Linked DNA regions of Neurospora crassa OR74A. Each later gene encodes a partner of the first gene's protein in a complex. Links are inferred from orthologs where the notes say so. Each region holds a gene or a part of one and is shown in the gene's direction. Other genes may lie near its edges. The genes, in order: NCU04063, NCU04463, NCU07710 and NCU03029.

Region 1 (7,900 bases):
TAGTTAGGGACGGTATCTAACAAACAATGATTGTCTAGAAAGGTGAAAGTATCTACGGTATGTGAAGTATAGGATCGAATTATCGGGATCTTAGAAAAACCTTATCACCCGGTTCATTCACTCAGTGACACGATAACTGATCGCAGACAATGAGTGGTCGAATCAAGGTTTTTGTCATCCTTTCAAAACATTTCCCTCCCATTGACGCTTTCATCTCCAACCCAAAAACTTCCCGGTAGAGAAGGCATCTTATCTCATCACTCTCTGATATAGAGATCACATAGGTACCCAACCGTTCTCTACCCAGGGTATCCTCCTTCTTCCCTACTTCGAAAATGAATCCCCTTGATGCTCAACGATCCATAACCTCCCAAAACATATCCGTATTCAGCACCACCTTCTCCCCCATCCAAATCGCTTTGTCCGTATGATTCCTCGCCTCCTTCTCCGCCTCACTGATCTCTCCGCCCTCACTAATGGTCTTCTCCGTCGTATTCGGATGAATCAACACGCTCAACGGTCCTCTCCAGACCGCCAACCAGCCCACAAAGGCACCAAGCTGCGCCGGCGTAAAGATGTTCACTTCAAACATGCCAATCGGGTGAGGACCGACGGGTTGGCTCCAAAAGGTGTAGATGCGTAACTCGGGGAACTCGTGTCTGATGCGGGAGTGCAGCTCGGCAGCGTAGCGGGCTTGGGCGGGGTGGTTGGGGAGGTGATAGATGTGGACGTCGCTTTGGGGAGTGTTAGTGAACTTACAAAGGGAGAAGGGAAAGAGGGAAAGAAAAGGCAACGAGGGGGGTATAGGCTCGTACAAGGCACCTCGTCGCCCGTTATCTAGAGGCTCGGGAAACTTTTCGTAGGCGCTGCTGAGCACGCCGGTTTGGTTGTTGAGGAGGCTCTTGCCGTCTTCGGCCTTTTCGGTGGGGAGGGGAGGGGCATTTTCGTAGCCTTCTAGGGGGGATTTGTAAGTTGGTCTTTGAGAGGGCATGTTGTTGTTGTTTGTTTTAGGAGTTTAGAGTCTAGAGTCTCTGGCTGAATGGGTTTGGGGTGAGCTGGTCGGGGTTGATTCTAAATTGAATTTTAGGGTACTGCGTCAACTCGGATGTGAACTGAAGTAAATAGGTGAGAACTATGTTAGGGTCAAGTTGAAGTCAAATATGGTGTCCGAATAGCTTCATCGACGTGATTCTCTCATGAGTAAGCATTACGAAGGTGACAATACGGATGACAAATAATGGCGGTCGTTTAAATGCCACGCTATGGGGTCCCGGCATGGCATCATTCCAGCATCCCACCCGTGGCCGAATGGCGATCCCGTCCGGGGAAGCCCCACCCCCGCACGGCGGCATCCCGACTGGACAGTCGGCACACGGGACCCCACGAGTTCCATGCCCCTCCGCTCACTTGGCCGGGAATGGCGACTCGACGAGAAGCAAAATCAGTAACCAAAATTCCAGTCCGAGGTATTCACACGTGTCAGTATCAGTTATGTGAATCCACGCTAATATGAGAATGATAAGCCTCCTGCTTGTTGTTGTGAGAATAATTATAGTACAATAACAAATGCCTATTACGCCGGTGTAATAGTAATAATACTCCGAAACAATGCTGACATGTAACAAGTAGTGAGAGAAAGTATGAACCATGCGCCTGCCTAGCCTCCTGTGGCCTTCTTGAACGCCATGCCCAAACCCTTGGTATCGGAACCTGACCCAAGCCATGACTGAAGCAAATCCTTTTCGTACCAAACAGTTCCATATTCATGTAAACCCTTTCCTTCTATCCCAGCAATGTGAAAATACGTCCCTTGGAAACCAGTCCATGCTCGGAAATGCGCAGCAACAAAATCGAATGCTCGACACGACATCGTGTCGATGTCCCCTAAACCGTAATAAAGCCGTAACAAAAGTGAGAAATCATGTAACAATACGATGTCGCGCCTGCAATGATAACAAACTGGTCGTCCCAGTCCCCATACAGTGATTCGATTTAACCAGCAGTGAGCCAAGGTCGAAACACGGTATCCTCGACTTTGAGGTGCCGAAAACTTAAGCGGAAGAAGCAGGCTCAGCGGAAGCTATGCCCTTGTCGTTCGCATCCAAAGAGCCAGAGACATCGTCGTTGGGGCCAAAGTCGGAAGGGCTAGTGCTAACCTGCTCGCCAGTCGCCACATCGACAAGCTTATCACCGTCGACCTCGACCTCTCTGTTGCCGATGCGACGCATCAAATCCAGGAAAGTCGACTTTTGAAATTTCTCGGACTGGTTGTCGGCGACCGAGGTCAAAATGGCGTTGGCTGCCTTGGCCAGCTCCTCGTTGCCCTCGCGACGACGAGCCTCGGCTTCTTCCTTGGCTTCCATCTCTTCAGCGAGGTTCTCCAGATCAGCATCGATAGTGGCCATTTCCTCGTCGGTGGGGGGGCCGACTTTGGTGTTGTTCTCGGCGCTCGGACCGTGCTGCGCCATCCACTCGGCCTCGGCAGCCTCAAACTCCTGCTGAGCTTGCTGAGCCTTCTCGGCCTTTTCCTTCTCGGCCCACTCAGCAAGTTCTTGCTCAAAGGAAGACTCGTCGTACTCGCCAAAGGCTTTGTTAAAGGCTTCGATGTCAAGTGCCGACTCGACGTGGTCGTTGAGGCCGAACTGAGGCTGCTGATGAGTGAAGTTGTTCGTGGCTGTGCCATGCATGACAAAAGGATCGTCCATGGACAATCCCATTCCCATTCCCATTCCCGTACCCACACCCATTCCCATACCGCCGAACTGGCGAGTGTTGTAGGCCATATGGTCGTCCTGCAAGCCCATCATGGAGTTGTGGGTTGCAGTAGACATGGCTGCCGGCATGGCTTGAGGTGACATGGCCGGGGCCGCGTGAGCTGTGTCCTGACGGAGCTGCATGCTGGCGAACTGGTCGACCCAGCCGTGGGCAGCGGCACGGGAGGAGTGCATGGGACTGGCCGTAGCCGGCGCACCTCCGACCGCATGACCAAAGACACCAGGCGCTGGACCAGCATGAAAAGCCGGGACGCCTGGGTTGTTCAGGAACGTATTATTCGCAAGGCCGAGGGAAGGACCCGGGGCGTCGAGCATAGGGGCTTGCTGAAAGGTCTCAAAGGCACCATCAGCAGCGAAGGAGGGGCGGTTTCTGAAGGACTGGATGGGTTGTTAGCACCGAGTTACGCTGGATATTCTACGACAAGACAAAACAAAAGAAAGCGATCATATCATACAGCACCGGCAGCCGAGTTGGGCGAGTTGACCAGGCGGTCCTGGTGAAGAGTGCGGTCGCGATCAGCGTGCGCAAGAAGGTTCTTGGCACCGTTGGACGGGCCGCACATGCTGTCAGACATGTTGAGCGAGGTTTGACTTGTTGGAAGCAAAAAGGCGAGAAGCGCGGGTGACGGTAAGTTTCGAGAAAGAAATTACAAAAGTAGAAGGTTTTATAAATAAAGAGTGAGGAACGAAATGTCCTTGAAGAGAGTATATAATTATTGTAGAGCGAGGAAGACTTGGATGAGTGAGCGAAAGGAGAGTTGTAAGTTGTAAGTAATGTAGATTAGTGGCGCGAAAGTAGAAGCCGAGGTTCTTTGAACAGCGCGATAGTAGTCACCGAACCCGCCGGTATCTCAAGTCTTCAACGCTAAGTATTTGGAGAAAAGTAGTTGGAGAGGGGGGAAGATGGAAACGAGAAAAAAAAGAGTAAACAACGCCGGACCTAATACCACGAAAAGGACGCGACTGATTACTGTGTGTAAAGAAATCCTTTTAGCAAGCAAACAAAAAGCGTCGCTGATTTTGAACAAGTAATTCTGGAAGAAGGGTCAAAATGGTCAGGTCTGGTTGAGTGAGATTCCATCCCAACTTTTTGTGACGGGAGTGAACGCTGCCACGGCACTGGCGAAATTCCCGTCGGGGTAGCCATGCGCTCACACGCTATCATGTGCACGGCATGTTCAGTGGACTTTTACAGCGGGACGGGAGAGCCCAGGCGACGCGTGGGGTCGTCAACGGGCCCCTGCCTCACCTGCCCCACCTTGGTTGTCTCAACAAGAGTCCACTTCGAGCCTCCGACCTGGTTACAATAACGTCACACCACGGTGAGCCTACGAGGAAACCGACAAAGGCTCCACTCACCTTGCTCACCTTGCTCACCTTGACTTCTTGCCAGCTGGACCACATCGCTCGACAGGGATCACTGCGCAAGCGTCAAGTGGAAGCTCCAGCGCAGCAAGACGGGTTCACCTATCGTGTCGCCTGGGCGTCCACTGCCTGTAGCTTGCAGCTTCCATTCCCAATGCCCGTCCGTGGTGATCCAACTTAACAGCAACTGAATCCCCAACGACGGCCCTTTTTCCTTTCTACTACTCTGAGTAGTGTACTTTATAACTCCAGTCTGAATTCATTCATCACCCAAAGGACGCAAATACAACTCCATACAAATCTATTTGTCTTTTCCACAATCTTCAATACTCCATAATTAATCAACATGGTACGTCCTCTTACACCCCCAAAGCTGCCGGCGGCGTCCCTCCCCCTTACTTGGCTACCTATCCACTAACATGAAGCTATCGCGACAATGACAGACCGCAGGCGCACAGGTTATCGCCAACTCTGGCCACGATGATATGATTGTACGCTGAACATCGCCCCCTCGACGTTTCCCGACAACCATCCCTCTGTTTCTAACCGACCCTCGCAGCACGATGCAGTTCTCGACTACTACGGCAGGAGGTTAGCGACATGCTCCTCGGATCGCACCATCAAGATCTTCGAGATCGAGGGCGAATCACAGCGACTTGTTGAGACATTGAAGGGGTATGTTTGCGATGGGCTACAGTCACCAAACAATATGGACAATGGGTTAACCTCCCTTCTTCCGACAGACACGATGGCGCAGTTTGGTCCGTAGCATGGGCGCACCCCAAGTACGGCAACATCCTCGCCTCGGCAGGCTACGACGGCAAGGTTCTCATTTGGCGCGAGCAAGCCGGCAGCTGGCAGCGCATCTTCGACTTCGCCCTACACAAGGCTAGCGTCAACATCGTGTCCTGGTCTCCCCACGAAGCCGGATGCCTCTTGGCCTGCGCCTCTTCGGACGGCAACGTCAGCGTTCTCGAATTCAAGGATAACAGCTGGGAGCACAACATCTTCCACGCCCATGGCCTGGGCGTCAACTCGGTCTCGTGGGCCCCCGCCACCACCCCCGGCAGCATCGTCAGCAGCAACCCCGGCCCCGGCTCGACGGGCAACAGACGCTTCGTGACTGGCGGTTCCGACAACCTGCTCAAGATCTGGACCTTCGACCCCGCGACCAACGGATACAAGCTCGAGCGCGAGCCCCTGGCGGGTCATACAGATTGGGTGCGCGACGTTGCGTGGAGCCCGACTGTGCTTCAGAAGAGCTATATCGCAAGCGCCTCGCAGGACAAGACGGTGCGCATCTGGACGAGTGACGCGGCGAACCCGGGCGAGTGGAAGTGCAAGGTTCTCAACTTTGATGCGGCCGTCTGGCGCGTTAGCTGGTCGCTCAGCGGAAACGTGCTGGCCGCCAGCAGTGACAACAACAAGGTCACACTATGGAAGGAGAACCTTAAGGGCGAGTGGGAGAACGTCAAGACCATTGAGGAGTAAAATCACATGGGAATTCGGTCACGTTATGATGATGATGGGTGGCGAGCGTTAGCATAATATTGGTAGGTAGGATATCTACTCATCATCCAGAGTGGGCGTTATCGGGTAATAAATAAGGGAGGCCAGCGAAAAGGAGCAGGCTTACCTTCGGTTTCACAAGAACATATCCAGGTTGGCTTCACATGAACCGCTCGGGACAATGAAGAGATCATACCGAGTTTTATCTTACACTATCACATTACCTCGGGCTTACGGGGAGTACATTTGACCCAGTACATCCCACCTCCCAAGTCATCAACGCGCCTTATCCATCTTCTCTTCCAACCATCCCAACACAATCTCCCTTCCCCTCTCATCCAGATCCCCAACACCTTCCAAATCGCCAATCGCCATGTCCTGATCGTCCACCACGCCCACGTCCGCCACCTTGACCCTCCTCGCCGCCTCCAGCTCCCAGTGGTGGAGGTCGATCAAGTAATCCTCGTCCCACTTCCGCCGCTCTTTGAGTTCCAACATCTCAATGCTCCGCTGCATCAGCAGCGCCAGTTCGTACGCTTGCGTGCGGAAGCTGTTCTCGCCAGCGGTGATGGCGACCGGGGGTTTGCGGTGTTTTCGCGTTTTGAGACGAGGGCGGGGTTTCTTCTTTTCCTCTGCTTCGCCTTGTGCTGAGTCGCCCTCTTCGTATTTCTCTCCCTGGCCTTCTTCTTCTTCTTCTTCTTCCTCCCCCTTTATCTTCTTCTGCTTCTGCTTCTGAACACCACTAAGTCCCTTTTGATTTCTGTTCCGGGCCGCGGCATCAACAACCCCATCATCCTTCCCCCCCTCCGACGACCCAATCTTCGCCAAAGCATCACACTTGAACGGCAACTCCGCCGACGGCGTCTCATACAACAATAACGTATCCGGCAGCTTAAGCATGGAGTGCCTCGGCGGGAAATGCACATAGCTCTTACGTGGGAACTTGCCAGGTAGAATCTCTACCTTGAGAGTTTGTTGGAGCATGTCTTCGGCCGCTACCTCGTCCGGCTCGCCTTCGGCGTCGTTGATCATCGACATGTGCATACGGTAGTGCTCCGAGTGCTCCGAGTTGTCGGGATCGAGGTCGTCGGTGGGGTTTTGGCTGGCTGGGAGGGGCGACGGAGCCGGAGGTTGGTGAGGAGGGGGAGTAGAGGGGGAAGTCAATGGGTCGTGGGGTTCGCTGGGGACGTCCGCGGGGACGTTGATGTCGCCGCTGCTGACACCATTGGCGCCGGTACCGGCACCGGTAATCAATGGCCCTGGAGGTGGCGGAAAAAGCCATTCAGGAACATACTTCTCATCAAAAGTCGTCGGAACAAAAAGTCCCGCCGTGTGGAAAAACAGACAAGCGCTAGCAAAGCTGTCAAACAGTCCCGACGGCGAGCCAAAGAGATCTTCGAGCCGACGCTGATAATGGGCAATGATGGGTGAGGTGGCAGCCGGTCCTGCATCTTTGTCGAGGTCGCGGTTCAGCTTGTGCAGCTGCTCCTCGATAAGGATGCGGTCGTCGCCCTTGGGCCGGTGGATCGGGTGGTCAGGCAAGAAAGTGGTCCAGTCGTAGATGCCGTTGTAGGCGAGGAGACCGCGTACGGCCATGCGCGCGTGTGGGTACGACTCGGTGAGAGCCAGCCCGGCGGCCAGACTGGCGCCAAGGTAGGAGCCGCAGATGTAGACGTCTTTGCGTTTGGGGTATCTTGGTTGGAGGTTTTGAATGATCCAGGAGTAGCCAAAGAGAACGTCGTGGATAGGGGTGGGCCAGTGAAGGGGAGTTATGCTGATATCTTCTTCCTCTTCCTTGGGTAGTCGCTCTTCTTCTTTGCTATTAGGCGTCTCGCTCGATTGATATCCTTCATCGTCAAAATCGGGCTCTTCAATCTTTGGCTTGAGTTTTGGCTGTGGTCTGTCGTCGTATAAGCCAGACCATCTATAGTGAATGACAGCGGCCGAGTATGTGTGAAGCCATGATGGGAGTTGATAGTTCGGGTCAGTCTCGTCCCGAGCAGCAAAGGGCGGGATCCAGATGATTAAAGGATCGGTTGGCGGCCGGTCAGCGACATTGTACAGACTGAGCCACAGATATCAGTCTAAAATTGGCCTTCGTCACTCACAGCTCCCAAGGAGACTGTTGATGTTATGTTGACCACCTACCTGACGGTAATTTCACCAGAAGAGGCGCATGGAACAGTATAGCGTTCTATCGAAGGCTCAAACGGGGGACTGCTACTGTAGAATCTTCTATGGGACGCCTGGTG
Region 2 (7,472 bases), on another chromosome or scaffold:
GTTTCGGGCTCTGTTGGCGGCGCCGGTGCTGGAACTGTTGCTGCTCCTCGTCCCGTCTCGCAGGTGCCTGTTCCAATGGTGCCAGCTCAAGCTCGCACAGATCTACCACCGGTTGCCAAGGCCGCGCGGCGCATCACCAATACCCTACTACGTGACGAGAACTACCCCGATGTTGATTCTTATGCTAGAGGTGAGCTTACCTGTTTAGGTTTCCATCCCTCATGGTACCTGGTAGGACTGGCTAACCATGTCTCTCCCAAATAGCTGGCTCCTCCTCGGACTATGACATGTACAGGACTGATGACGCGCCCGGCGCCCCGTTCAAGAAGACTCATATGTATCCCATCCCCGATCAAGTCTTTGAGCGGTTAAACAGGGGAGAGGTCAACACGCAACTCGGCCTATTTGCCGACATCAACTACGCGTGGGCTGCTATTGACAGCTCCCTCTTTCTCTGGGACTATACCCACCCAAACCCCGAACTTATCGGCTACGAGGATGCCACCACCACCATCACCGCGGTTGCCCTAGTGCCCCCCAAACCTGGCGTGTTCGTTAGTAACATCACCCATATTCTAGTCGTTGCTACGGGCACCGAGATAGTTTTGCTGGGCGTATCCGCGACACCTACCCCTTCGGGATCGAAGACCGTCGCCCTCTACCAAACAAAAATGGCAGTACATCGCGGAAGCACCGATGTCAGCTTAATCATCGGTACCTCGAACGGCCGTATCTTCTTTGGCGGTTATACCGATACCGACATCTACGAGCTCCTTTACCAGCAGGAGGAGCGCTGGTTCTCTAGCAGATGTGCCAAGGTCAACCACACACACCCTGGCTGGACATCAGTTGTTCCTAACCTCCCAGTGCCAATGGGCTTCTTGGGCCACCGTGATCAGGAACACCTTGTTCAGCTGGTTGTCGATGATACTCGGAAACTCCTATACTCGCTCTCGGACAAGTCCACCATTCGAACATACTTCATGGAGCCCTCTGGGAAACTGACAAAAGTCATCGAAAAGAACAAGGTCTCGTGCCTTAGTGACATGACGCATATGGTTGACTTGAACAGAAACCCTTTGCTTAACGAGAGAGTGAGAATCGTCTCTCTTAGCGCCATCTCGGCACAAGAAGCCTCAAAGTCTCACCTCATGGCACTCACCAACACCGGATGCCGTTTGTTCCTTACTGCGACGAGCGCGGCATCCTACATGCTGAGCGCCTCAACCAGCCTTGCTCCTCAGAGCATGCAGGTCCAATACATCAAGTTTCCTCCTACGAGCGAAGACCAGCAGGTTCCCCTCCGCAACGAGATCAACACTGCAGTTGCATATGCACCTGCACCTGCAGCAGCTCAAGATCAAATGTCTGGCTTACTTTCGGAAAGTTGCCTTGGTGAACGTTTTCCTCCGGGTTATTTCTTCGACGCGGTTCGACCCAAAGAGAGTCGCACGGATCTGCTCTTTGTATCAGCCCCCGATGTCGGCAGACTTAAGCAGAGCGCTGTACTCAGATATGTTGAGCAAGGTACTTTCATCCCCTTGGGTGACGGAAGCCGAGTTCTTTCCATCGGTCTTACTGGCAACCCTTTTGCGGCTGCAAAACAACCGCTCGGATTTGGCAACGAGCTAGCTGTTCAGTTCGATCATACCCCAAGCGAATTCGCTGTGCTCACCAACACCGGTATCCATATCGTTCGCCGCAGGAGGTTTGTTGACATCTTCGCTAATGCGATTCGTGTCGCATCTGGCGATGAGGATTTGGACAGCAAGGTGAAAACGTTTACGGCCATCTACGGCAGGGTCGAAATGGTCGCGGCTGCCTTGGCGGTAGCATGTGGTCAAGGAGGAGACGCCCGTCGTGCTGTGGATCCTCTTACTGAGGACAGGGCGCGGTCCATCTTCATCAACTACGGTGGTCAGCCCAAGCTTGCGGACGCAGATGTTTTGCAGGCACCGGAGGACAACGTACAGCTCTCGGCTCGCCACGATGCGCTGGTGCTCTATCTTGCGCGCCTCGCCCGCACCCTATGGAAGTCCAAGGTCATTGAGATAGCCACGGATAGCGCTTCGGGCGGGTTCACTGTTGGCTCGGCGATTCCCATCTCCAAGCTCATGACGGTACAGGAAAGTGTGCAACGACTAAGGAGATTCCTTGAGGAAAACAAAAGTCTCATCCAGGGCCTGGCCGGACCCTCCGATCGGGTTTCTAGCAGACAAGAGGAGATCGCTTTGCAGCTGGAGCACCAGTCTCTCCACGCTCTGCGTCAGCTTATGGACAGCGTGTCTGAGGGCATCTCTTTCGTCTTGATGCTGTTCGATGAGCGGGTAACCGACATCTTCATGCGCCTAGATGATTCGTCCAAGCAACAGCTGCAAAACCTTACCTATGAAGCTTTGTTCTCTCAGGACTCTGGAAAGGAGCTCGCCAAGGTTCTGGTGAAGGCTATTGTTAACCGCAACATTGCCAACGGAGCCAATGTCGAGACCGTTGCCGATGCACTCAGGAGAAGATGCGGCACTTTCTGCTCCCCTGATGACGTTGTCATTTTCAAGGCTCAAGAACAACTGCAGCGGGCCAGCGAGTCATCGGGCAATCCTAACCTGATGCGCACCTTGCTTGCGGAGAGCTTGCGATTGTTTTCCCAGGTCGCGGGAAGCCTGACCATGACCAACCTGCGCAACGCGGTCGAACAGTACATCAATTTGAAGTATTACGCTGGTGCTATCCAGCTGTGCTTGATAGTTGCGCGAGAGAAGGACCGTGGAAACGCGGCCCTTGCTTGGTTCAACGAAGGCAAGCCGGCTAACGATCCCCGTGAAAAGGCTTTCAAGGACCGGCAAAGTTGCTATTCCTTGATACATGAGGTCCTTGACCGGCTAGAGATTGAGTCGGCCTCAGAGCCCGATGTTGTTGACGGTAGGCCAACTCTTGCTGCCACCAAGCGGGCGGAGGCATACAGCGTCGTCAATAGCTCAGACGACGAGGTCTTCCACCTTGATTTGTACGACTGGTACATTGAGAAGGGTTGGACCGACCGCATGTTGGCCATCGACTCTCCTCATGTCGTAACGTACCTGCAGAGACTCGCTGCGGTTGATGCTCAGCACGCCGATCTTCTTTGCCGGTTCTACACACAACGCAGCCGCTTCTTCGAGGCTGCTCAAGTGCAGGCTGAGCTCGCCAAGTCAGACTTCCCCCTTGGCATCAAGGAACGCATTACCTTGTTGAGCAGAGCAAAGGCCAACGCCAGCGTCACCACTGTCGGTGTGAGTCGCCAGCAGCAGCAGCTTCTCAACCACGAAGTGACTGAGCTTCTGGAAATTGCCCACATCCAGGACGATTTGCTTGAGAGATTAAGGGCCGATCCTCGCATAGTACCTGAGAAGCTCCCTGACATCGAGAAGGTTCTGGATGGTCCTGTCCAGGGCCTTTCTACTGTGAGTCAATCCCTAAAAGTATGATGCTATTTTAGTTGCTAATCTGTACCATGTAGCTCTTCAACGATTTCGCCGATCAGGCCGGATACTACGACCTTTGCCTGCTCATCTACAACGCCGCGGACTACCAGAACCCGCACACCATCAAAGAGACGTGGGAGAATCTCATCAACCAGATCCACTTTGAGACCGAGCAGAAGCAAGAGGTGTGGCGCCTCATTGAGGCAGGCGAGGCATTGCCCGAGGGTGTCGAGGCTCTTGAAGTTCCACCCCCTATGCCTTACGAGGCTGTTGTCTCCCAGATCCAGTCCATTGCCCACCGCACCTCCCTCGACAGCCTCATCTTCCCCGTCGACACTCTTCTCCCCATGGTCTGCGCCTACGCCATCAACAACCACCAGGACGCCTCGATCGGTGCTGACCCTTGCTGGCCTGTCGCTGCCTTCCTGCAGCTGGGCGTTCCTCATGCCCTGATCGCCCGCGTGCTGGAGAACATGTTTGACGCTCAGGAGGCGCCCTTCGTTGGCAAGCACAGGAAGTTGGTAGTACAGTGGATCAACTGCGTCGTCGACTCGTGGATCCGCGAGATCGAGCACCGCGGTTCGGCATCGGGTAAGAACGGCGACGGCGCCATCACCACCTGGGTGGCTGAGCTGTTGACGAGGGCCGAGGAGGCGTTGGTTGCGATTGCGGCCGGCACCAGGGACCCCGCTCAGGCGGCGAGCATCACGGATACCAGGAGGGACACGAGAGAACTGAAGAGGAAGGTGGAGATGCTGTCGCAGGCCGAGGCCCAGGGCAGTCTGTTGTTCAGCACCAGGTAGGACCAGGTGAATCCAACGACTCCCAAGACGCCCATGAATAAGAAGAAGCGGACGTCGTATAAGACCACGGTGGAGGAAATTCCGGATGAGAGTTGTGGTGCGGCAGGGGAGGATTCAATGATGGGTAGCATCCCGGGGAAGTGGAAGAGGGGGTTTACCTGAGACATGGAAGCGAGGGAGTTGCTGTGAGTTATGTTTACGAATATTGAATATTGCTGCCTCTTTTGTGTCGGGGCCTTGAAAATATCGCTATGAAGATGGCGTGGCGAAGAGAAGGAAACCAGAATTAAGAGAAAGCGATACATTGTTGATTGACCTTGGAAGTAGGTGTTTTCGATACTATCCGCCGTGGTCCTCTTTCTAGCATTTTGTCGAGTAGATTGGTACCAATGGCTTTGGTGTGTGGGTAGGTTGGTTGGTTTGGTTAATGTGTACTGTACATAAAGTATTTATGTGACTTTTTTCTCCACGTTTCATCTCTCTGGTACTTTAGACCACCCGGGCCTGCTTGCTTTGGCTTCTCATTTGCGTCTTGGTACATGAAGATGGTTGAGTTGATATTGTCGATGTGTGTGTGAAATGCTGGTCGGTCTCCACTTTTACCCCTTTTCACTTGATCTCTCAGGATAAACACTCGTGCTCGAGAGGGTGGTTTTGCGCTTTTACGTCTGGCCTTGAATCATCAAAAGCGGAAGCAAAGAGAACGGGGACTTCTTTCGAATAGTTCTAGGTGCCAGTACAGAGGCATGGCACGAAAACACGCCTGCATCCATGGATGGCTAACTGAGATCAAGCTCTACTCGACAATCTCCTTTGAGAGTCCCTTCAGTCTCCAACCAGATCAAAAGCAGGAACCGGGGGTGTCAATGCTGAAGACCGTGTACGTCCAAAACCCAAGTCCCTCAACCTTCAACGAGTTTGAGTAGGGGAAAAGAGCTGCGCTTCTAACGAAAGACCAGCAATCAAGGTAAGAGAAAGAAAGAAAAAAAAATTATGGACGCGGAGAGGGGAGAGGAGAAAAAAGGAGGTAAATAAATTGCACGGTCCGTGATTCGAGCCCGGGTCTTTATCTGGTGATTCATGTTCCGATTCCCTCTGAAACTCGGTCTTTGACTGTGAGTCCACGGGGATTCCAACTCTGTTTCTCAACCCAAGTGGCGCGCTAGACCATTGCGCTAACCGTGCTTTTTTCTTGGGTTTGTTAGTAGAAACAAGATCTGAGGGGGTACCATATGTACCCCTATCGACTGGATGGAATTGGAGATAAGTGACGAGGAGGCTGCTGGCAGAGGATGGCATGGGGCAGTGGGCAGGTTCAGACTTGGGAGGGATGGCAGGAAGGAAGGAAGGAAGGAGATACGTACGCCCCTGCTGGCTAACTCTACGGCTACTGTAACGATAGTGACAGAAGATGTTGGAAGATGGTTTCAAATAAACTTACTACTAGCACCGCTACCTTTTTGTTCCCTTTTCTCTTGTCATGTATGGTCTTAATCGTCTGCATCCCTTCCCTGTTCTCGTTCACTCTTTCCATTACTCCTTCCCCATCTACTCCATCACTAACTACTACCAATTCTCTCCTTGATTACTAGCAAATCTTCTCGCTTTGTCCCACCATCACCGCAAAGGTTTCCAAACAAGTCAAACATTGCCAACCACTTCACTCACTCATCTTCCGCTGACACCCAACCTCACACAAGCACCACTAACCAACTTCCAACCCATCAAACTCACCCTCATCCTCATCTTCACCCTTTCTTAGCCTCGCCTATGCCACCAATCCCAGAATCAGTGCTGTCGGAGACACTACAGACACTAGCTTGGTGCGGTCGGTTCTCCTTGGGTACCTGAATTGGTATGTATTTGCGAGGATGATAGGGAGATTTTGGTGAGAGGTTCGATGAGTGGCCCGAAAGGTTGGGGGAGGATGGTATAGGGTTGGTAATGGAAGCAGGAGCGACAGGTGAGTAAGATGTGTAGTAGTCTTCTGGTGCTTGTTCTGGTTCTGGTTCTGATTCTGGATCCTGGTCGCCGTGGCTGTCATGGTCATGTCCCATTTCCACAGATTCTTCTTCATGTTCAGCAAGATCCATACCTCGTTGTTGTTGTGAATTTGCAGAGACACTTCTTCGACCCCGCCGCTGAACCTCATTCTCATCCAGCATCACATCCTCACTGCCCTGTCTTTCCCCGCACTTCTCACTCTCCTCGTACTCCTCATGATCCAAAAGAGACATTGGCTCCCCCATGCCAACATCACCATCTTGCTCCTTCTCTAAACTTAGCAGCTCCACAACCGACACAGACACTACTGAAGGTGATTTCTCACCAGAGTGTCTCGAATATCTCGATGATGATTGGCGCGACCCTTTCCGTTCATCCTGCTCATCTGGTTGTGGACTCAACGCCGCCTTAAACCCACCCGACCTGTAAGCGGGAGAAAGCGAGGAACGAGAAAAGCCAGGTGGAGCTGGAGAGCGAAGCGGGTGGGAAATTGCAGAGATAGGTGCGAAATCCGTCACTGTCGGCGATGGGGGCATCGAAGATACCCCTGACCCTGCGATGGAGCGTGATCTTGGGGAGTGTCGTGAAGTAGGACGGCCATAGCTCTGACGACCTGAAAAGTGTGGAATCGGGGACTGATGAGGCGGTGTAGGTGACTGAGGGGGGCTTGAGTGCCTTGAGGTAGGATTGCTATGGCTACGGCTGTAGCTGCGACTGTGGCGGTTCGGGGAGCTTGGAATCTGGGAGTGATGGGATCGTGTAGGAGACTGGGGCGGGCTTGAGTGTCTGGAGGCCGCATAGCGCAGCGAGTGGTGGGAGGGGGCGCGAGAGCCGGGGGATAATGGGTTGAGGTCCAGCCTGCGTGATGTATGGGAGCGTATGGAGGGCTTTGATGACGAATGTGAGGCATGTGAACTCGGTTTGGGGGTGGTGTCTCTGAGGGCTGCGGTGGGTGAGTTGCTGTTTGATGATGCTGGAGATCTGCCATGCGGTGATACTGCCATGGAACGGCGCCTTTCTTTTGACGACGCATTCGTTGGAGCCTTCACGTAACGAACACCTGAAATTCGTCTTGCGGAATTGTCACGCTGAGATTCCGCTTCCGAGCTTGAGTGTGGGTGTTGTGAACGTAATTCTGATACAGGTGACCGTACTCTCGACTCATCATTCACAAATGGTTCCCGGATTGATGCTTTCGAATCCC
Region 3 (8,310 bases), on another chromosome or scaffold:
CATTGTGCGGACACAGATCCATGAACCTGCTACATTCTGAATTCATAAAGGTGCCATCACTTCAACATAATGCCTGCCGGAGTCAGAAAGTTATGTAGACGGGGCAAAGGGGTTTATATGATGTTCGTGAATCAAAGAGGGAAATACAAATGACTTATTTCTAGCTACGCCGTAAGACATGAGAACTAGGCCATTCCAACCAATGAGTTGGAAACAGAAGAAATTTTGAAGCCAGATCTCTTGGTATGGGCTAGGCAACAAAGGAGTGAACAGTAGGCTCGCATCCAATTCATTGAGGCCTCTGTGCTTGCCCAATAACGACCACATACAAAATTGATGCAGAAAAGGGCTAAGGAAAAGGGGGTGGGAAGGAATATTTACTTCGAGAACATAGGGGTGGTGTTGTAAACTCGATCATAATCCAGCGACCGGGATGGTGTGATACAGTGCTACAGAAAGTAACACTCTAACGACACTTAGCTCACTGCGCATCAAGGGCAACGGGCTGACAACACGCAAGCCCAGCACAGGATCCTCTTCCGCACACCAGATGACAAGTTGTCGCCGTGCTGGCCTGTCTTCCCTTTGCCAGCGAGACACTGGTGGTGGTGATTGACGAAGCTGCGCTTGTAGTGCCGCAAGGCGTTGTCGTAATTGACTCATTCTCGTCCACAAGACCGTCGCCTCCATCCGGTAAGGCTGTAGCTAGCGTTGCGGATGCCTTACTGGCCGGAACAAGCTCGTATTCTTCGTATCCGGGCGAAAGTTCCGGTTGGACAGTGGCCGAATGGATCCCGTAGGCGTGAAGACACTCACCGATGGTCCTCGCTTTGTCCATAAAATTCACGATACCATCTTCTGTGAGAACGACGTGGACAGAGGCGATGGCCTTGTTCTGATCGAGCCTCCAGACGTGCAGCTCGTGGATCGAATCGACTCCTGGAACCTGATCCGTGAAGGAAAAGTCAGTTGCTGTTCTTACCGTCGTTTGGATTTGACAAACCTTCTCAATGTCGTGCTTGATATCATCGGTTCTTACTCCCTTCGGAGCACTTTCGAGAAGAATTTCGCCGCTGTTCTTGATCAGGGGCACAGACGACAGTATGATCATGATAGCAATACCCACACCAACACCGGGATCAGCATAAAAGCGAGCCTCGGACTTGAGTAGCCAGATCAGGAGTGCGGCCACGATGACCCCGAGATTGTTGATCGCATCGCCCATGGCGTGAATGAGCGCGGCGAGCATGCCCAGATCGCGGCGTCGAGGCTGCTGGATATCAGGAAGAGAGGAATGCCGATGCTGAAAGTGATGGTAGAAAGGCTTTTGTTCAGCACAACTGATTAGTGTCCGTCTCAAGTATGTATCGGGGACCTTGAGTTGACCTTACAGACTCTGTATCTCTATCCGCCCGACAACATGTACCGAAGTTAAAAGCTACTTCATTGTCATGTTCATGCGAATGCCCTAGAGAATGCCCGTGACTAATATGGTCATGTGGCTCTGCGAATGAAGTGTCAGATCTATGTCTTCTGGCTCATAGATTCACGACCAACCTACCATGCAGAAATGTGATTGTGATAATGTTGAGTGTGAATCCCACACATCCCATAATCAGCATCAATTTTGGGTCCTCCACTCTTTCAACGGTGATGAAACGTTCAATCGATTGGAGGAAGATGCTCGTCCCGAGGGCAAGTAAGAAGACGCCATTGAAGAAGGCGCCCAGAAGGCGGGCGCGCTGCCATCCAAAGGAAAACCCTACAGGTGTGCCGGTCCCTTCGGTCTTCTAGGAAAAGTGTCAGTGCCTGAACCGGGTTAGATGATACACAGATTTGCAAGAGGAGGAGTCTCATGGGAAAGAATGAAAATGACTACTTACAATAATGGCGGTTAAGGTGACAGCAAAACTAATCAGGTCGTTCAACTGGCCGGCAAACTATTAGCATGGGTTAGGATGGTCACAGGGTACGCATTAGAGAAGTACATAGTGAAATGCGTCTGCCGTAAGGGCCAAGCTTCCTGTCTTGAAAGCAACTGTGAGGTTGTTGTCAGCAATATGTTCCCTTGTCATTTTGACAAAAGAAAACTTGAACAAATCAAAACGAAGAGACAAAGTGGCGATAGAAGTAAATAAACGCGAACAGACCAGCAAGTTCTGATACAAAAAAGGCAGAGGATATGGCGATTGTTGCGGCTAGCCTCTGCTTCTGTCCAATTTTGGGTGCCATTGCTTAACGTGCAAGTGGAGGAAGACGTCGAGGTCGGTCGGAAGCCAGTTATAGGTGTTTACGTAGATTGCCTGGAAACCGACTTGAAGATACCAGATATAATGTTGACGCTGAGACTATTGCGATCGAGTTGAGACCCAGAGAGGAGCTTTTGCACCGTCCCGCCTTCCCGGGTCAGCTCGATTTAAGGGAGCAAGTACATTCTAACCGAGTTGGGTACAGCAGGTGCGACACAGACGGACCTGCACGTGAAGCGTGAGCCAAAAAGGTCCTCTCCCTTCCGGGGGGTCTTTGGAAGTAGGAAGCCGGTCGGTATCCATCGACGTAAGGCGGCCACTGGACAGGCTGGCGATGCTATTCTTAATGATCAAGTCGAGCAGCACTTCGTTGGTGCTAGACCAGCAGCCTAGAGAACAAGGTGGATGACAATGGCACGTTGGACAGTGTACCCTCTTCGACGTCAAGAGCGAACAAAGTCGACACTGGTCCCAATGAGAGTTCACACCGTTGGCGAGGTACAGTATAGAGCTTTGAACCAATGACTCCCAGGCACAGTCGATGCTGTAACCGACTTGCAGTTTGTGTCTTGATCGCTTTGTGACTGGGTAAGTTGAACCAAATCCAGTTCTATCGCCTTGCAGAAGAATTGACCACGATTCCTCCCCCATTACTGGCATGTAGAAAGCGCGCACCCTGTGCAAGAGATGTCGTGATAGGTGACCACTATTCTAACTTGAACCGCTTGATGAGAAGGCCGATGGCAGCAGAGCATGGGCAAGATGTGTGCTTTAAGACCGGAATAATCTCAGAGGGGTCTTTTAGGGGAGACAACGAGGCTCTGACAAACAGCTGGAGGCTGGTCATTGATGTCGTACGGGCTTAGGCTACGGAGCACGGCGGCGGCGCTGCCACCTCACGACTTTCACACGGATGCACGAAGAGTTCCCACCATCAGACAGCCGTGTAACTTTGGCGGGCAGGTGGCTTGACGCTTGGGTTAACCATGGTATAAGAATCTTTACATTGGCCGTCGCGGTCCGAACGGACGGGAGGAGGATAGTGAGGGAAATTGGATTTGTAGAATTGTAGGTGAAGAGGCTGGAAGTCCTCCGATGTCATATGTATGATATGGCCCGTGCGCCTCCAAAGTGCCGTTCGGCATCGTAGGGCGGTGAATGAGGGCACACTGAATTCTGCCGCATCCCAACTGTCAGAGCATCAGTACACTGCAGGTACCTACCTCTACAGGGCTCTACAGCTGACCGTACCTGCAGCTAGCACAGATGGTCCGAGCTCCTGTGCGGACGTCGCCCCGTCTCTCTCTCAGGCTGCGTTTCAACTCCCACCAGACTTCGTCTTTGAAGGCGACATCGTGCCAATCACTGCATGTATGTAGACGATGAAATAAACTTCGTACACTTTCGGCAATATCCGTCTTACATATTCTTTCTTGATCCTCTCGAATGTGTCTCGTAGGCATGGTGGCCTCGAGATCGCAACCACCGACAGCGAGCTAGGAATAGGGCGTGTTATCGACCTCCTAATCATTCCACCTGAGCATCTGACATCAACGCATGGAACCAAGCCGATGATTACTGTCAGACGGCATTGATGGCGTCGCGCAATTTCTCTTCGGGGGTGCCGGGACATGTCAGGCCCCCCAACTGGTCGTCGCACCTCCGGCAGTTCAGCAGAAACAGCCTGGAGCGCATCCCGGATATGCCCCGGTCCCCGGACACTGTCTCTAGTAACTCGACCATCCGTGACCGGCCCTCTTCATCCTCAAGACGTTCACGTTTCGAGAGGAGGTGGACCGTTACCGTCAACGAGTCCTTTGCTCGCGATGAAGTCTTGCTTAATCTTGATCTCATAGGTGATGAGGCAACCCCAGGCAGCCTCATGGCTATCGACGTCTTCCGACCTGATGCGGAGAAGCAAGCGCAAGGTTCTCATCACCATCACCACCACCATCATCATCACCATCATAAACAGCCTCCACCGGACCGCACAAAAGAGGCTGCAGAAAGTCAACAGCGTTACATCTTTGTCGTCAAGGACATGCCCAAGGAACTCAAAGCCCGCTACCCGAGTGTTGAAGTCTACGTCGCAAAGCACATTGCTGATGTCTTCGGCATGAGGAAGGGTTCGCAGGTTACCCTGACCCCAGTACGCCCCCACTCCTCACTTGTAGCCGCGTAGGATTCCTACTAAACTACATAGATTGATCATCATAACCCAGCCATCGAGGCCTCGCATGTCGAGCTTTGCTTTAGAGACCAGTACATGTCGCGCTCCGACATGTGGCAGTTGGCTGTTCGTGAGCTTTCAGAGAAGACTGTCTACAAGGGCCAAATGGTTCTGTTCATGGGCACTCTCAAGGCTCAGGTTACCGCTGTCTATGTTGAGGGCCGTAAGGTGCCATCCGCATTCTTTGGCCACAATACAAAACCCATCTTCCGAAGCGAGTCTGCTCGATACGTGCTTTTCATCCAAATGGCGCGCGAAATGTGGGACTTTGATTCAGATGGCTCTGGTGAGATCATGTTCAACAAGGTTGTGAACGGTTTTTTGCCAGCTCTGTTCAAGAAATGGGCGTCACTTAAAGTCAGGCACCTTGTCAGTATTGTTCTCTTTGCTCGAGTTGAGTATGACACAGGCATATCCACCGAGTTGGGCAACCCGGACGTCCAAAATGACTACTACACTGGTGTCCAGTCGTCTGGCGATCGTCGCCCTTACAAGGACTTCTACCGCGTTGTTGTGAGCGAAATGGGCAGCGGCGAGTGGACCAAGATCCTCTACCAGTTGAAGCGCGAGTTTAACTACTTTCGAAGGGATATTAGCACCTTCCATCAGAAGGCTATGCACTCCTTTTCTTCTTCAGATGACCCAGCCGACCAGCAAGCAGCCTTGAACAGGATAACGGCTGAGGCGTCACGAGCCATCTATGGCAATTTCCTAGAGGCGATCAACATGGCAACCTCGCTGTTTGCGCACGATTACATAGATCGTGATTTGATGCGAACCGGCATTTCTGTTGTCGTCATAAGCCCTAGTCCGGGGATTTTCGAAGTCGAGTACGACGCACTGCGCCGTACCACCGAAGCCTTGGTTGGAAATGGGATTGGTATTGATCTTATATGCATACCCAAGGCTCCTCTCCACTCCGTGCCCCTGTTTCGGTATCGCAACCCTGAGTACTCGACAGAACCGACACATCATCACAAGGCAAAAACAGCGCCGAGTCTTTCCAGTACTCCTAAACAAACAGCGCCGACGATTGGGAGCTTTAACAGCATGGCGGGGTCATATTCCCCAAGCAGAGGCACCGACATCACTCTTCATGGTGATTATGCTGGCTCTGGCTTGGCTCAAGATGAATGGAATTATGCTTTGCCGCAATGGCTACATGTTTCTTACTGGACAGGCGAGTCCGAGGAAGCCCTGTCATACCATGGCATTGCTTTGTCGGTCTCTGATGTTTCAAAAACACGGTCAGGGGACGACTTCTTGATAAGATGTCGCATGTATGACTTGCAAATGCGCAGCGTCATGGAAACCAATGAGATTGAAACCAAGCCGTTGCATCTGGATCCTTATTTTCCTCATAAGGCATTACAGGCAAACAACGTACCGAAACCGTTTATCGATCAAGATGGCAACGTCTTCATACAAAACTTGCGCATCCCAGAAACACTCTTTGATCACGTGTACGGTTTCCAGAAATTCGCCCCGGATAAGCACGCAAAGTTGGGGGAGAAGTCACTCTGGAAGCAATTGCAGGACTACGACGACTCGAGAGCGCGCCAGCCGTCATTTCGCCACACATTGGCGCCTCCGAGTCATATTCGGGAGTACGATGATTCCGTCAGGCGACATCATGCTGATGACGCGAGTCTTCTCGGGACGTCATACACTGAGCGTAGGCCGTCTACGAGTGCCTCACAAATGACTATGACTGGGCATAGATCCAGTCAGCGCTTCAATGCCGACAAACCTGAATCGCGTAACCGTAAGACGGTCGACTTCGACAAACTCAACTCCAAGCGTTCACCAACAATCACTCCAAAAGTTCCAAAGTTCATGAAGCAGATCAGCCTTGGCAGCTCCGGTTTTCGCATTGCCGCACCCAAAGCTGCGACGGCAGAACTTAGCATTGAAAGTGTGAATGCTGATAGATCATTGGCATCTTCAAGGGCTTTGATGAACGCGGGCACTGTTGCAACTCCAGCCAAAGCAGCAATCAACCGGTCAATGTCGCCCCAGATGTTCGCGAGTGGAACTCCCGTTTTCTCCCCTTGGGGCGCTACACCAGGCTCATTCGCGCCCAGCCATCAGTACTTTGAGGGTACTCCAAGCCGGCCGATGCCAATCAAGTCGCAACAGATTCCTACTGACCCTGCAGCCAACATGCTATCAGGCTCGATGCTTGCCTCAACACTACGGGCCGATTACGTTCCTGATAATCGCGATCTCTTCTATTCAGATGCAATCAGAGCTGAGGATGCGAAGAAGGTTTATAATAACAAGCTTTTGGCCGGAGCGGTACCGGAATTACCGTCAACTTTATCGCCGACAACCGCGCTGTCACCTTGGCTGACGTTGGTCAACCCGTCGAACCCTGATAGCAACAAGGTCGATATTGCCACGTTGTACAGTCGTTGGCAACATGTGTTTCCTAGGCCAAACGAGACGCGGGTGATGAAATGGAAGTCTTTGTGCTCCCCCGCTGCCGTTCCACTAACCACAGAGTACTTCCCTACCAAGGCACAGTTCGAGTCAGAGTACCACCGTCAACCGTATAATGTCTCGCAAAATGCTGATGATGAGCTGGCCGAGGAACCCAAGTCACGCGACGAGATGCTGCGCGAGATGATCAGTCTCAGATTCTGCCAAGGATTCCAGGTCGTTGTAGGCCCAGCTGTTGCCAAAGCCTTTGGCCAGAAGCAACTCAAGGTTACCGACATATTCTCCCGCGACCACACAGCAGAGGATGGTACAAGCATCTTCATGTCGGTCGGCAACACGATCCACCAACTGTCGTGTGTGAATGGCACCGAAATTGAAGTTAATATCTTTGTCCGGAAGCCGATCGCCTCGGCGGGACTGTACAATGACCGTTACTTGTACAAACCGGCGATACGAACTCTACTTGACCACGGTTACAAAACCCGTTCTTATGACATGGTGGCCCCAACGCCTGATCGGAACTGGAATTACGTCGATGCCTTTGTTGCAGGGCATAATGACGAGTTGTCCGAACATTTGAGGTTTTGGCGCGCTAGGTTCGTCCTGATACCAATGACAGCCAGACACTCGTTTTTCCCCAAGACGCAGTACGGGGACAGTGAAGAAGAGATTCGCATCGAAGGCATTCGGAAGCTTGCGCAGATGTGGCAGAAGCACAGGTATATCCCGGCGAGCGAACGGAGCTTTCAAGCATCGCGTCGCAAAAAGGACATGAATCCCCTTGATATCGTTTACAAAACAGAAGATCCATCCGTAGTTATTGCGGCCGAGCTGGAAACGCTTCCGTTGTTGGAGGGCCTGGAAGGCGGGCACAGGAAGGGTCAGCTGGTCACGAGCAGAGAGCAATTTTCGAAGAAGAACTTCAGCCTGGCAGCATTGGCAGAGGCTATCCAGCAGCCCGTGGAAAATGGAGGCATTCGAATGCAAAACCGGCGCTGGCATTTGCGCCTCCATTACAACTGCTTCATCGGCTCTGACATGACCACTTGGCTCCTGGAGAACTTCGAAGACTTGGAGGACAGAGAGGAAGCCGAAGAGCTTGGTAACCGTCTCATGGTCACTTCAGATGATAAGTCGAAGGATGAAAGCAAAGATGGGAGGAAGGATGGCGGTGGACTCTTCGTGCACGTTGAGAGGCGACATCCTTTCAGAGATGGCCAGTACTTCTACCAGATCAGCAGCGACTATGCGAAACCCAACCCTCCAGGCTGGTTTAACACAAGGCGGGTTCCAGTGTCTGTCCCATCAACACCGCATTCGGAAGTACGGGATTCACCAAGGTCCAATGTGTCGATGTCAAGACCAACATCTATCCACGAAGACAGCTCT
Region 4 (8,287 bases), on another chromosome or scaffold:
TGCGATTACGTACGAGGAGGAGGGGGGAGCAAGCTCTTGCGGGAGGTGGTGTGGAAGGCGGCAACACGGAGACCGTTGGCAGCAACGGACTGCTGGGCCGCAACCTGCTTGAGGAGGGCAGAGGAACGGGCGACGGAAGCCATTGTTTCTGGTGATTGTGGTGGTGATGACGGGTGTTGGGTGGTGATGTGGTCGAAGCGTGGTGGTGATGGCGGACAACCAATTGGACTTTCGAGAACGGGAGGGCGGTCTTCGCAGGAGATATCGTCGCACGGGTCTTTCGGTTGGTTCAGGACAGGATCGTGGCCGTGGATCGCTAGGAGCGCTGGGAGTGACGGGACGGGCGGGCTCCGGAGTGGAACGGACTGGTGCCGAGCTGCGAGTCCTGATGTAGCTTATCCCTCGGCAATACTCGGCCAATCGCAGCATAGAAGATGTCAGCGGCAGCGTGTGCCGGTCGTGGCTCGGCGTGGAAAATCCCATTGTTCCCGGCGTGGCCGTAGCTTTGAGATTGGTACCTCTCACTACGTACCGGATCTTGCTGCATCCAGTGGGTTGCACATGCAATCCAAGGGCCCTGTCCCCCCGCCAAACCCGACCCGGCAAGAACAGGGGTGGCCCAAGCTCCCCTCCGCCGTTCCAGAAATTATTTCGCAGTCGGAGATGCTAGCGCGTAATGATAGGTACGGCAGCGCGTTAGTTGGGGCGATAAGATACCTATCGAGACCTTCGCTGCACCCGGGTTGGGACGAGGGGCCATTATTTTTTTTCGATGGCGCCGTAGTTCGCCGGTACCTTAATGACTGGCCGAAGCTATCATCGCCGCTTGTACACTCCCAACCTACCTCAACACCAGTCGACTGATCCGCTCACACCACGCGACCCCGGATCTTCAGCCGGAAACCCTACTGTACCGCCTGGGCATCCCGACCAATCTACTACCGCGCCCTTGGAACCATAACCAAACTCTTGCAATTGCCCAGCAAGGGACCCAATTCCGGTTGATCGGATCGCAAAAAGAGGGCCGGAATCGGCGCTTCGGGTTGCGCTACGGATTGCGCCCAGTTCCCTCTCCTTCCTTCTTCTAGCCGTTGAGCGATACGCAGCCAAACATCACATCAAATGCTGCTTCGCACAAAAGCCCTAATACGCTCCGGCGGGAGTATCGCCAAGTATGCTGCGGCTAACCCATCATGCTTCATTCTCCAACGAAGAGGACTCAGGCGCGAATTCGGACCAAAGTACACGGCCAAGATCAATGAGGCCGAGGAAAACTGGCAGGCGAGGGCAGAGGCCATCAAGAAGGGCAAGAAGCAGAATACATGGGACCTGTTTGAGGAGAGAGGCTATGTCAAGGATACAGCTGGGTAAGTTTAGACAACTGGCCTTTCGATGCGCACAGGAACATGACTAACACGATTCTTCTACCAGCACCAAAGAGCACATCGCCGAGCTTATGAGGACGAGGCGGATTGGGGCATATGTCGGCATCGATCCTACCGCACCATCATTACACGTCGGCCATCTACTCCCCCTGATGCCGCTCTTTTGGATGTACTTGGAAGGATACAAGGCATTCACCCTCATTGGAGGCTCGACGGCAAAGATTGGAGACCCGACTGGCAGGCTAAAAAGCAGAGATCATTTGAGCAGCAGCGATGCGACAATGAACATGACTAAGATTCACTACCAACTCAAAAAGCTGTGGGAGAACGTGGACACTCAGATGCGAGCGCGTGGTTACGAAGCCGATTGGGCGCGGAAGCGAGGCATCGTCAACAACAACCATTGGTGGAACAAGCAGCCCATGCTCGAGGTCCTGAGGAGGGTAGGTCACGCCTTGCGCATCGGCCCCATGCTGTCGCGCGATACCGTCAAGAACAAGATGACCCAGGGAGACGGCGTGTCTTTTGCCGAGTTCACCTACCCCATCATGCAGGGCTGGGATTGGTTCGAGTTGTTCTACCAGCAGGGAGTTCAGATGCAGATTGGAGGTTCTGATCAGTACGGCAACATCATATCTGGTCTCGAGGTCGTCAAGGCCGCCCGAGAATCCGAGCCCGACCCGCAGGAGCGCAAATATGTTACGCCCAAGACTGCCCTTGACGAATGCGTCGGCTTCACCGTCCCTCTCTTGACCGATTCATCCGGTGCCAAGTTTGGTAAGAGTGCGGGTAACGCCATTTGGCTTGACCCCTATCAGACCTCCGTCTTCGATTTCTATGGTTACTTTGTCCGCCGGTCCGACCAAGAGGTTGAGAATCTCCTCAAGCTCTTCACTTTCATGCCCATCAGCGAAATCACCAAGACTATGGAGGAGCACATCAAAGACCCTAGCAAGCGTGTCGCGCAACATACCCTTGCGCGTGAGGTTGTGACGCTGGTGCACGGTAAACAGGAGGCCAGCGCCGCCGAGGACCAGCATCGTATGATGTATACCGGCCAGATGACCATTCCCCAAGTCTCTCGTGCCAAGGACGCAGCCACCGGTGGCGATCAGTACAAGACGATTTCAGATCAGCCTGTCACCCTCAACAACGCGCCCCGTATCGACATGATTCTCCCCGAGTCGCTCATCATGGGCAAGTCTATCGGCCGCATCCTCTACGCCGCCGGTCTCGCCAGCAGCACCACCGAGGGCCACAAGCTCGCGGCTGCCCAGGGCTGCTACGTCGGCGGAGCCCACAGAGCCGGCGGCGAGAACGTCACCATGAACCCGGACCTCATCTCTTTTATGCCCGTCAAGCTGTGGTTCCCCGGCGAGACCCAGCGCTACCTGATTAACGGCAACCTGCTAATCCTCCGCAAGGGCAAGCACAACGTGCGTGTAATCCAGATGGTCAGCGACGTCGAGTATGCTGCTTCGGGCCAGACGTACCCCGGACAGAGCTTTACCGGCGCTGTCAGGAAACTGAATGAGATTATGAAGAACCTCAAAGAGAAGAAGTTGACCCCTGAAGAGGCTAAGAATGCTGTGAACGAGCTGCAAAAGAGTTCGCAGGAGAAGCAGCAGGGCCAGCAGATTATCTTCCCTGAGGAAAAGAGCAGGCAAAAGAAGGATATGGAGACCAAGCTTAAGCAGGAGATGATTGCCTCAGTAAAAACGATTGATGGCATGATGGACGAAAAACCCTCTGTGCGGGGAGATGGGGTGAAGAAGCAGACTCAAGATGATAGGGATCCGTATAAGTGGTAGAGAATGTGTAAGATTCTATTCGCATGGTAGGGTGGCACAGAGAAAAGGCATAAAGGTTGGATTGGTTGGACAAAAGCGTTACTCCCCATACATATTTTGTAAGATAGAAGCATGAGAATACCCGATTTTTGGACATCATAGTCAATACCGTGGAGCCCCGCAATATGAAAAACACAAACGACAATATGGTATTTCCAGAATGATCATGATGTTTCTCAAGCAAACATTTTGAAATACACGGATAGTTAGCGTTCATTCCTGGGTCCTCCGATGCTGAAGTCGAAAAGGGGTTATGTGTTCTCTGTTTTTGTGGGAGGGGTTAGGGTTATATGTGAGGTACACACTAGCAGCCATTGACCTCGTAGCACCAAGGCACCTTTCCCAAGACAAAACACAATACGTGACAACTTCTGGCAAACCGACCACGGCGACGACTACTATGCTAACGTCATCTTTGGTTTGCAAAGTGTCTGATCATTGTTCTCAAAAGCAATTTCATTCTACTTCAGATTCGGATGACATCTATACGCTACTCGGTAGAACCAACCGATAGAAATGAGCGCCGGTAACATCCGATGAGACCATATTACTCGTCTCGGCGTCAAATCCAAAGTCGCTTTTCCCAACACCAAGAAGACCCTGGGTTTCGACAACAATCATTTAAATCATGATTCAAGCAATCTTCTATGCCAGGTTCTTTCCAAAAGAGGGTACATATAGCCTGCCTTGCCCGTCACTCATCAAAGTCATTTGCCCACCCATTTTTATTGGGTCTGGCCAAGACAGCCCAAAGACGAAGTGTAGTGAATCTCAAGCTAACCAGTGGCACTTTTCCCTAACTCAGGAACCAAAATCGTCGCACAAAGTCCACCGGGCTCAATCGTGCCAGTTCCACTTCCAGAAGGCACCAATGGTCCCCTCAACAGGAAACCATGTCTCTTCGACTTCAGCGTGCTCCAGGAGTACATCATCCCGCGCAAGGCCTTCTGCAACCGCTTCATCACCGTCAATGACCCGGACGGCAAGTACGTCATCCTGGGATACCCCGTCTCCATTCCGGACCCGCGGTACGACCGGAACGAGTTCATTTTCAACTTTGGGCTCGTCATCAGTTGCGATGTGGTGGACCAGATCCCCTATGAACGCGTCGTAAGGAGGCTGGCGGCCACCTTTGCCGAGATGGAGAAGCAGGACGGCTACCTGAGCCAGGACGCGGCCACGAGGGGCGGAGCGGTCGCGGTTCATGGGTATGGCAATGGCGGGGGCCGTTGGGTGGATGGGGACGGGAATGAAATGGTGAGTATGCGGCGGCCGATAGAATCGTTGCTGGAGATTGTGAAGGAGGATCTGAATAACTATGGAGAGTGCATGATTCCCATTGGTATATCTCCCTACCTATTCACCCCCCTTCATCACCTTAGTTACAAAAAATGCTGACCGTTTCAAAACAGACGACGCTAACACAATCAACATGAAACTCTTTCCTCACCACGTCAACCCCCCTGAAGTCAAAGGCTGGCACGTCCCCGTCGCCAAGATGAAGTTCGCCGACGTCGTCGACCCAACCTGGGATCTAACCCTGCAGCGCGTCGTCGCTCATATCGATGGCGTTTCCGACGTGCGCCGCATTGCTCTGGCCTCCGGCGTCTCCCTCGAGCTGACCCAGCTCGCCCTCCGCCACTTGCTCTACTACGACACTATCCTGCTCCTAGACATGTTCTTGTTCGGCGCGTGCTACGCCCCTCGCCCGGGCATCCACGACTTCATCGCCAACGTAGGCGGCATGGTCGACGAATGTGCTAACTACGTCTGCGTCGGACCTATCGATCCGTCTCCCAGCAGCAGCAACAACACCGGCACCGGCGCCGGACCTTCTTCTTCTTCTTCTTCCTCCGACAACTACCACCGTCTCCGTTCTGTGTCAGGAAGCACCACTTTCCACAACCACAATCCCTCCAACCTCTCCACCTCTGCCAGCACACGCCACAGCCACCTCTCCCCCTTTGGCCTTGGCCCAGGAGGTGGTTCCGACCGCGATCCCAGCCCTTACGCCCAACACCACCTCTCCCCCGTCCACGAACGAAAGCCCTCCACCTCCCCCCGCAACCCTTCCTCCAACATCCACTCCTCCTCCTCCCCACCGTCTAACAAGCCCCCACCACCCAACGGATACCGCATATCCAACTACATGCTAATCCGCCTAATGACTACCTTCTGCGTCGGCAAAACCGTGGCCGAATGGCTCAAGGGCCATATGGATTCCGGCTTCGACGTCCTACGGTACGTGGACGTTCGCCGCTTAGTTCAATTTGGCGTCATCAAGGGGTGTTTGTACAGGGTGCACAAGTATGTTATCTCGAAACAGTATCTGGCTGCGCTAGCTACGGGGTTGGCTAGACCTGTTTCGCCATCCGACACCGGAACTGGCACAGGCAAAGGGAAAAGTGGGAGGGGGTATGGCGAAGGGGAAATGGGGAGGGAACATAAAGTGGCGGTGCCGGGCGGACATTATGATACCTATCGTGAACCCGGGAGTCATGGGGGTCCGGGGGGGAAGGGGTCGAACAGCAAGAAGATGGCGATGATGATGAAGGCTAGTGGGGATCCGTTGCAAAAGTATATGGATGGACGACATTGTTTTGATCAGATCATGACGGAGAGGAACATGACGGACGCGGAGATTATGGATAAATTGAGGAACTTTCCGGTGCCGGCTGGGGATTTGACGGTGCTTTATCGGTAGAGGGAATGATAGCATGCAAATAAGAGTTGATTAGTGGTGTTGATAGTTAGCCCGGCTACTGTATGCGAACTCGTCTTCTTAGAGGACAAAAGAACCTTGTTGATTCAAGCAAGAGGAGACATGTTTGATAAAGATCGCTAAACTGTAAACATGTAAACCTCCTTACGTGAGGACACCCGCTGAAGGGGTGTTGTTTTGAGCATCGTCTCTGTGCTGGACTGTCTATCGTCCTCCTGAGCAACCATTATCGCTAGATATTTGATTAAAATATATCTAGCACGGCCCAACAATGACCTCGCCAGGAGATAACACTGCACTCCCTGGACATCCTTCAATCCACTATCCCCTCGACATTCTGTCGTTCATTGTGAATACCGCCGTATCCTTGAGGAACAGCAGATAACTGTCAATCTCCGGTCCACATCTCTGCACCGTCTAGTAAAGAAATTTAAGTTAAGAACCGCCCAGAAGATGTTCGATAGCACCCTGTACGCTACCACCGCTGCGGCGTAGTGCAGCAACGTTCCGATCAAAATCGAAGAAACCCATATCGTTGAGTTGACGCAGCTGCTCAGCATACCTCTCCTCTGGCGGCCTGTTGTCGGGAGGAGCAACGGGATTTCCGCCAAAACCACCCAAACCACCGCCACCAAATGCCTGCATCATCTGCTGCAAGGCCTCAGGCGAGATAGGGGGCAAACCAAAAGGGTTCGCGGCACCAGCCTGACCAGGCTGACCAGCACCTCCAAGCGCTCCGAACAAAGATGCCAACGGATCTGCTTGCTGCCCAGACCCCGAAGTGGCGCCAGTAGCCGGAGCAGATGCGGCATCCCCGCTCCTGGCACTCTCGGTCGAAGCTCCGGTAGACGCAGGCGAAGACCCCGCGGGGTTTCCAAAGAGCGCGGCAAAGGGATTACCTGCTGGGGGAGCGCCCGCCGGAGGAACACCAAATGGAAGAAACATGGCGAACGGGTTCTGCGCATCGGCATTGGCGTTGTTATTACCGGCACCGGTCGTCGCGTTCGGAGTGTTGTCCGTTACCCCGGGCGCTGGAAAGGCGTTGGCGCCTCCGCCCATCATCCTACGCATGCGTGCCGCCATGCGAAGTGCCTCCGGGTTCGTCATCATGTTGCGCATCATCGGAGAGTTGAGAAGCTCGCGAGCGCGATCAGCGGGCATGTTGGCCAACATCGGGTTGGAGGCAATCATCTGGTCGATGACGGCGGGGTTGTTGAACGCCTCGGCCATGACCTGGGCCATCGCTGGGTTCGAGAGCATGTTCGCGATTTCATCCTCGCTAGGAGGCGCGCCCATCTATAAAACATCATTAGTAAACAGCTATGTTAAGGGTCCAGGGGGCCGAGAAAGGGGTGGCGTACTCCTCCGTCCGGCCCAAACAGGTCTCGGCTTGGTAGCGGCACCTGACCGGCAAAGCGAGCGCCTGTGAGGCCAGCTAAAAGGTTATTCGAGGGAGTGCCGGCAGCCATGTTCTGAGGTATCGCGGGCTGAGCGGGTGTCGAGGTTGAGCCACTGCTGGCTGTCGCGGCGCTGGCTGGACGCTTAACCATGTGCACTGTGTTCATGTGCTTGATCTTGTAGAAACTAAGAACTTCATCGTCCTTCATGACCTTTCCGGAGTAGATGAGGCGTTGCTGCTCCGGCGAGATGTTCTCGTATTCCTCCCCCGCTAACAGGGTCTTGAGCTGAAGGACGGTCGCAGACTCGGCAATGGTGACTGTGTGGTTCTTGTCGCCTGAGCATTTTACTTTGAAGGTAATCTGGCCATCGCCGCCAGTATTTGAAGCCTCAGCCATGATTTCTATCGCTTTACGATTCGGCAATGAAACGGTTAATGGCGGTCGTGGATGATGACGTTGGTCTCAGGGGAGCTCCGATCGCCCCACGTTCGAGTTCAGCACTTTGTGATGGGATTATGTGAAAGCCTGCTGCAAAGTCGTTCGTATGGAATTACGATAGCTTCGTGTGCTGGTGAAAGTTGAGGAATGGTGATGCTACGGAAAAGGGTTGTGTTGGGAACCAAAGTAATTGAGTTGTTGTAATGTTGGAAGGTCACAGGCGGAGGCCGATAAGCGCTGCCGCCAACAGTGGCAGGTGGGTGGCATGGCATTAAGAGCCCCTCCACGGCAGGCAGCAGACCCCACTACAAGCCGTCATTAAGGTATACTAGGTAGTGTAGTGTTCACCGAGGTTCTTGCCTTTTTAGGCTTCACTTCTGTCGTTGAACACGACTCCATCCCTAACCCTACCTACCAAGTGCATGTTACAGTACCTTAGTACCCTACTTCAGCTTTCCCACAGGGCCTCGACGTAACGAACGCCGGTCACTA

Evidence for each region.
Region 2: NCU04063 (region 1) and NCU04463 share a complex: the UniProt entries of both Saccharomyces cerevisiae proteins name them as parts of the nuclear pore complex. The link is inferred for Neurospora crassa OR74A from reciprocal best matches to the Saccharomyces cerevisiae genes SEC13 and NUP170.
Region 3: NCU04063 (region 1) and NCU07710 share a complex: the UniProt entries of both Saccharomyces cerevisiae proteins name them as parts of the SEA complex. The link is inferred for Neurospora crassa OR74A from reciprocal best matches to the Saccharomyces cerevisiae genes SEC13 and IML1.
Region 4: NCU04063 (region 1) and NCU03029 share a complex: the UniProt entries of both Saccharomyces cerevisiae proteins name them as parts of the SEA complex. The link is inferred for Neurospora crassa OR74A from reciprocal best matches to the Saccharomyces cerevisiae genes SEC13 and NPR2.

Annotation. Positions count from the first base shown.
Region 1 is NC_026506.1:2,619,019-2,626,918, forward strand, and holds NCU04063 (protein transporter sec-13), read left to right. Parts: upstream 1-4,263; 5' UTR 4,264-4,485; coding exon 4,486-4,488; intron 4,489-4,582; coding exon 4,583-4,630; intron 4,631-4,698; coding exon 4,699-4,814; intron 4,815-4,882; coding exon 4,883-5,630; 3' UTR 5,631-5,924; downstream 5,925-7,900. Other genes in the region: NCU04061 (hypothetical protein), read right to left, coding at 353-734, 816-991; pex20 (peroxisome biogenesis factor 20), read right to left, coding at 2,052-3,152, 3,230-3,349; NCU04064 (hypothetical protein), read right to left, coding at 5,925-7,713, 7,797-7,900. UniProt on the Saccharomyces cerevisiae protein: Functions as a component of the nuclear pore complex (NPC) and the COPII coat. It is one of 5 proteins constituting the COPII coat, which is involved in anterograde (ER to Golgi) double-membrane transport vesicle formation.
Region 2 is NC_026504.1:3,270,402-3,277,873, reverse strand, and holds the end of NCU04463 (non-repetitive nucleoporin), read left to right. Parts: coding exon 1-190; intron 191-264; coding exon 265-3,440; intron 3,441-3,496; coding exon 3,497-4,264; 3' UTR 4,265-4,734; downstream 4,735-7,472. Other genes in the region: NCU04464 (hypothetical protein), read right to left, coding at 6,013-7,403. UniProt on the Saccharomyces cerevisiae protein: Functions as a component of the nuclear pore complex (NPC).
Region 3 is NC_026504.1:2,121,712-2,130,021, reverse strand, and holds the start of NCU07710 (vacuolar membrane-associated protein iml-1), read left to right. Parts: upstream 1-3,597; 5' UTR 3,598-3,843; coding exon 3,844-4,398; intron 4,399-4,452; coding exon 4,453-8,310. Other genes in the region: NCU07709 (cation efflux system protein czcD), read right to left, coding at 482-946, 1,004-1,340, 1,387-1,504, 1,562-1,622. UniProt on the Saccharomyces cerevisiae protein: Component of the SEA complex which coats the vacuolar membrane and is involved in intracellular trafficking, autophagy, response to nitrogen starvation, and amino acid biogenesis.
Region 4 is NC_026501.1:8,386,744-8,395,030, forward strand, and holds NCU03029 (hypothetical protein), read left to right. Parts: upstream 1-3,582; 5' UTR 3,583-3,863; coding exon 3,864-3,906; intron 3,907-4,040; coding exon 4,041-4,577; intron 4,578-4,647; coding exon 4,648-5,939; 3' UTR 5,940-6,111; downstream 6,112-8,287. Other genes in the region: tca-13 (succinate dehydrogenase cytochrome b small subunit), read right to left, coding at 14-143; cyt-18 (tyrosyl-tRNA synthetase), read left to right, coding at 1,123-1,367, 1,432-3,196; NCU03028 (deubiquitination-protection protein dph1), read right to left, coding at 6,393-7,253, 7,319-7,753. UniProt on the Saccharomyces cerevisiae protein: Component of the SEA complex which coats the vacuolar membrane and is involved in intracellular trafficking, autophagy, response to nitrogen starvation, and amino acid biogenesis. Mediates inactivation of the TORC1 complex in response to amino acid starvation.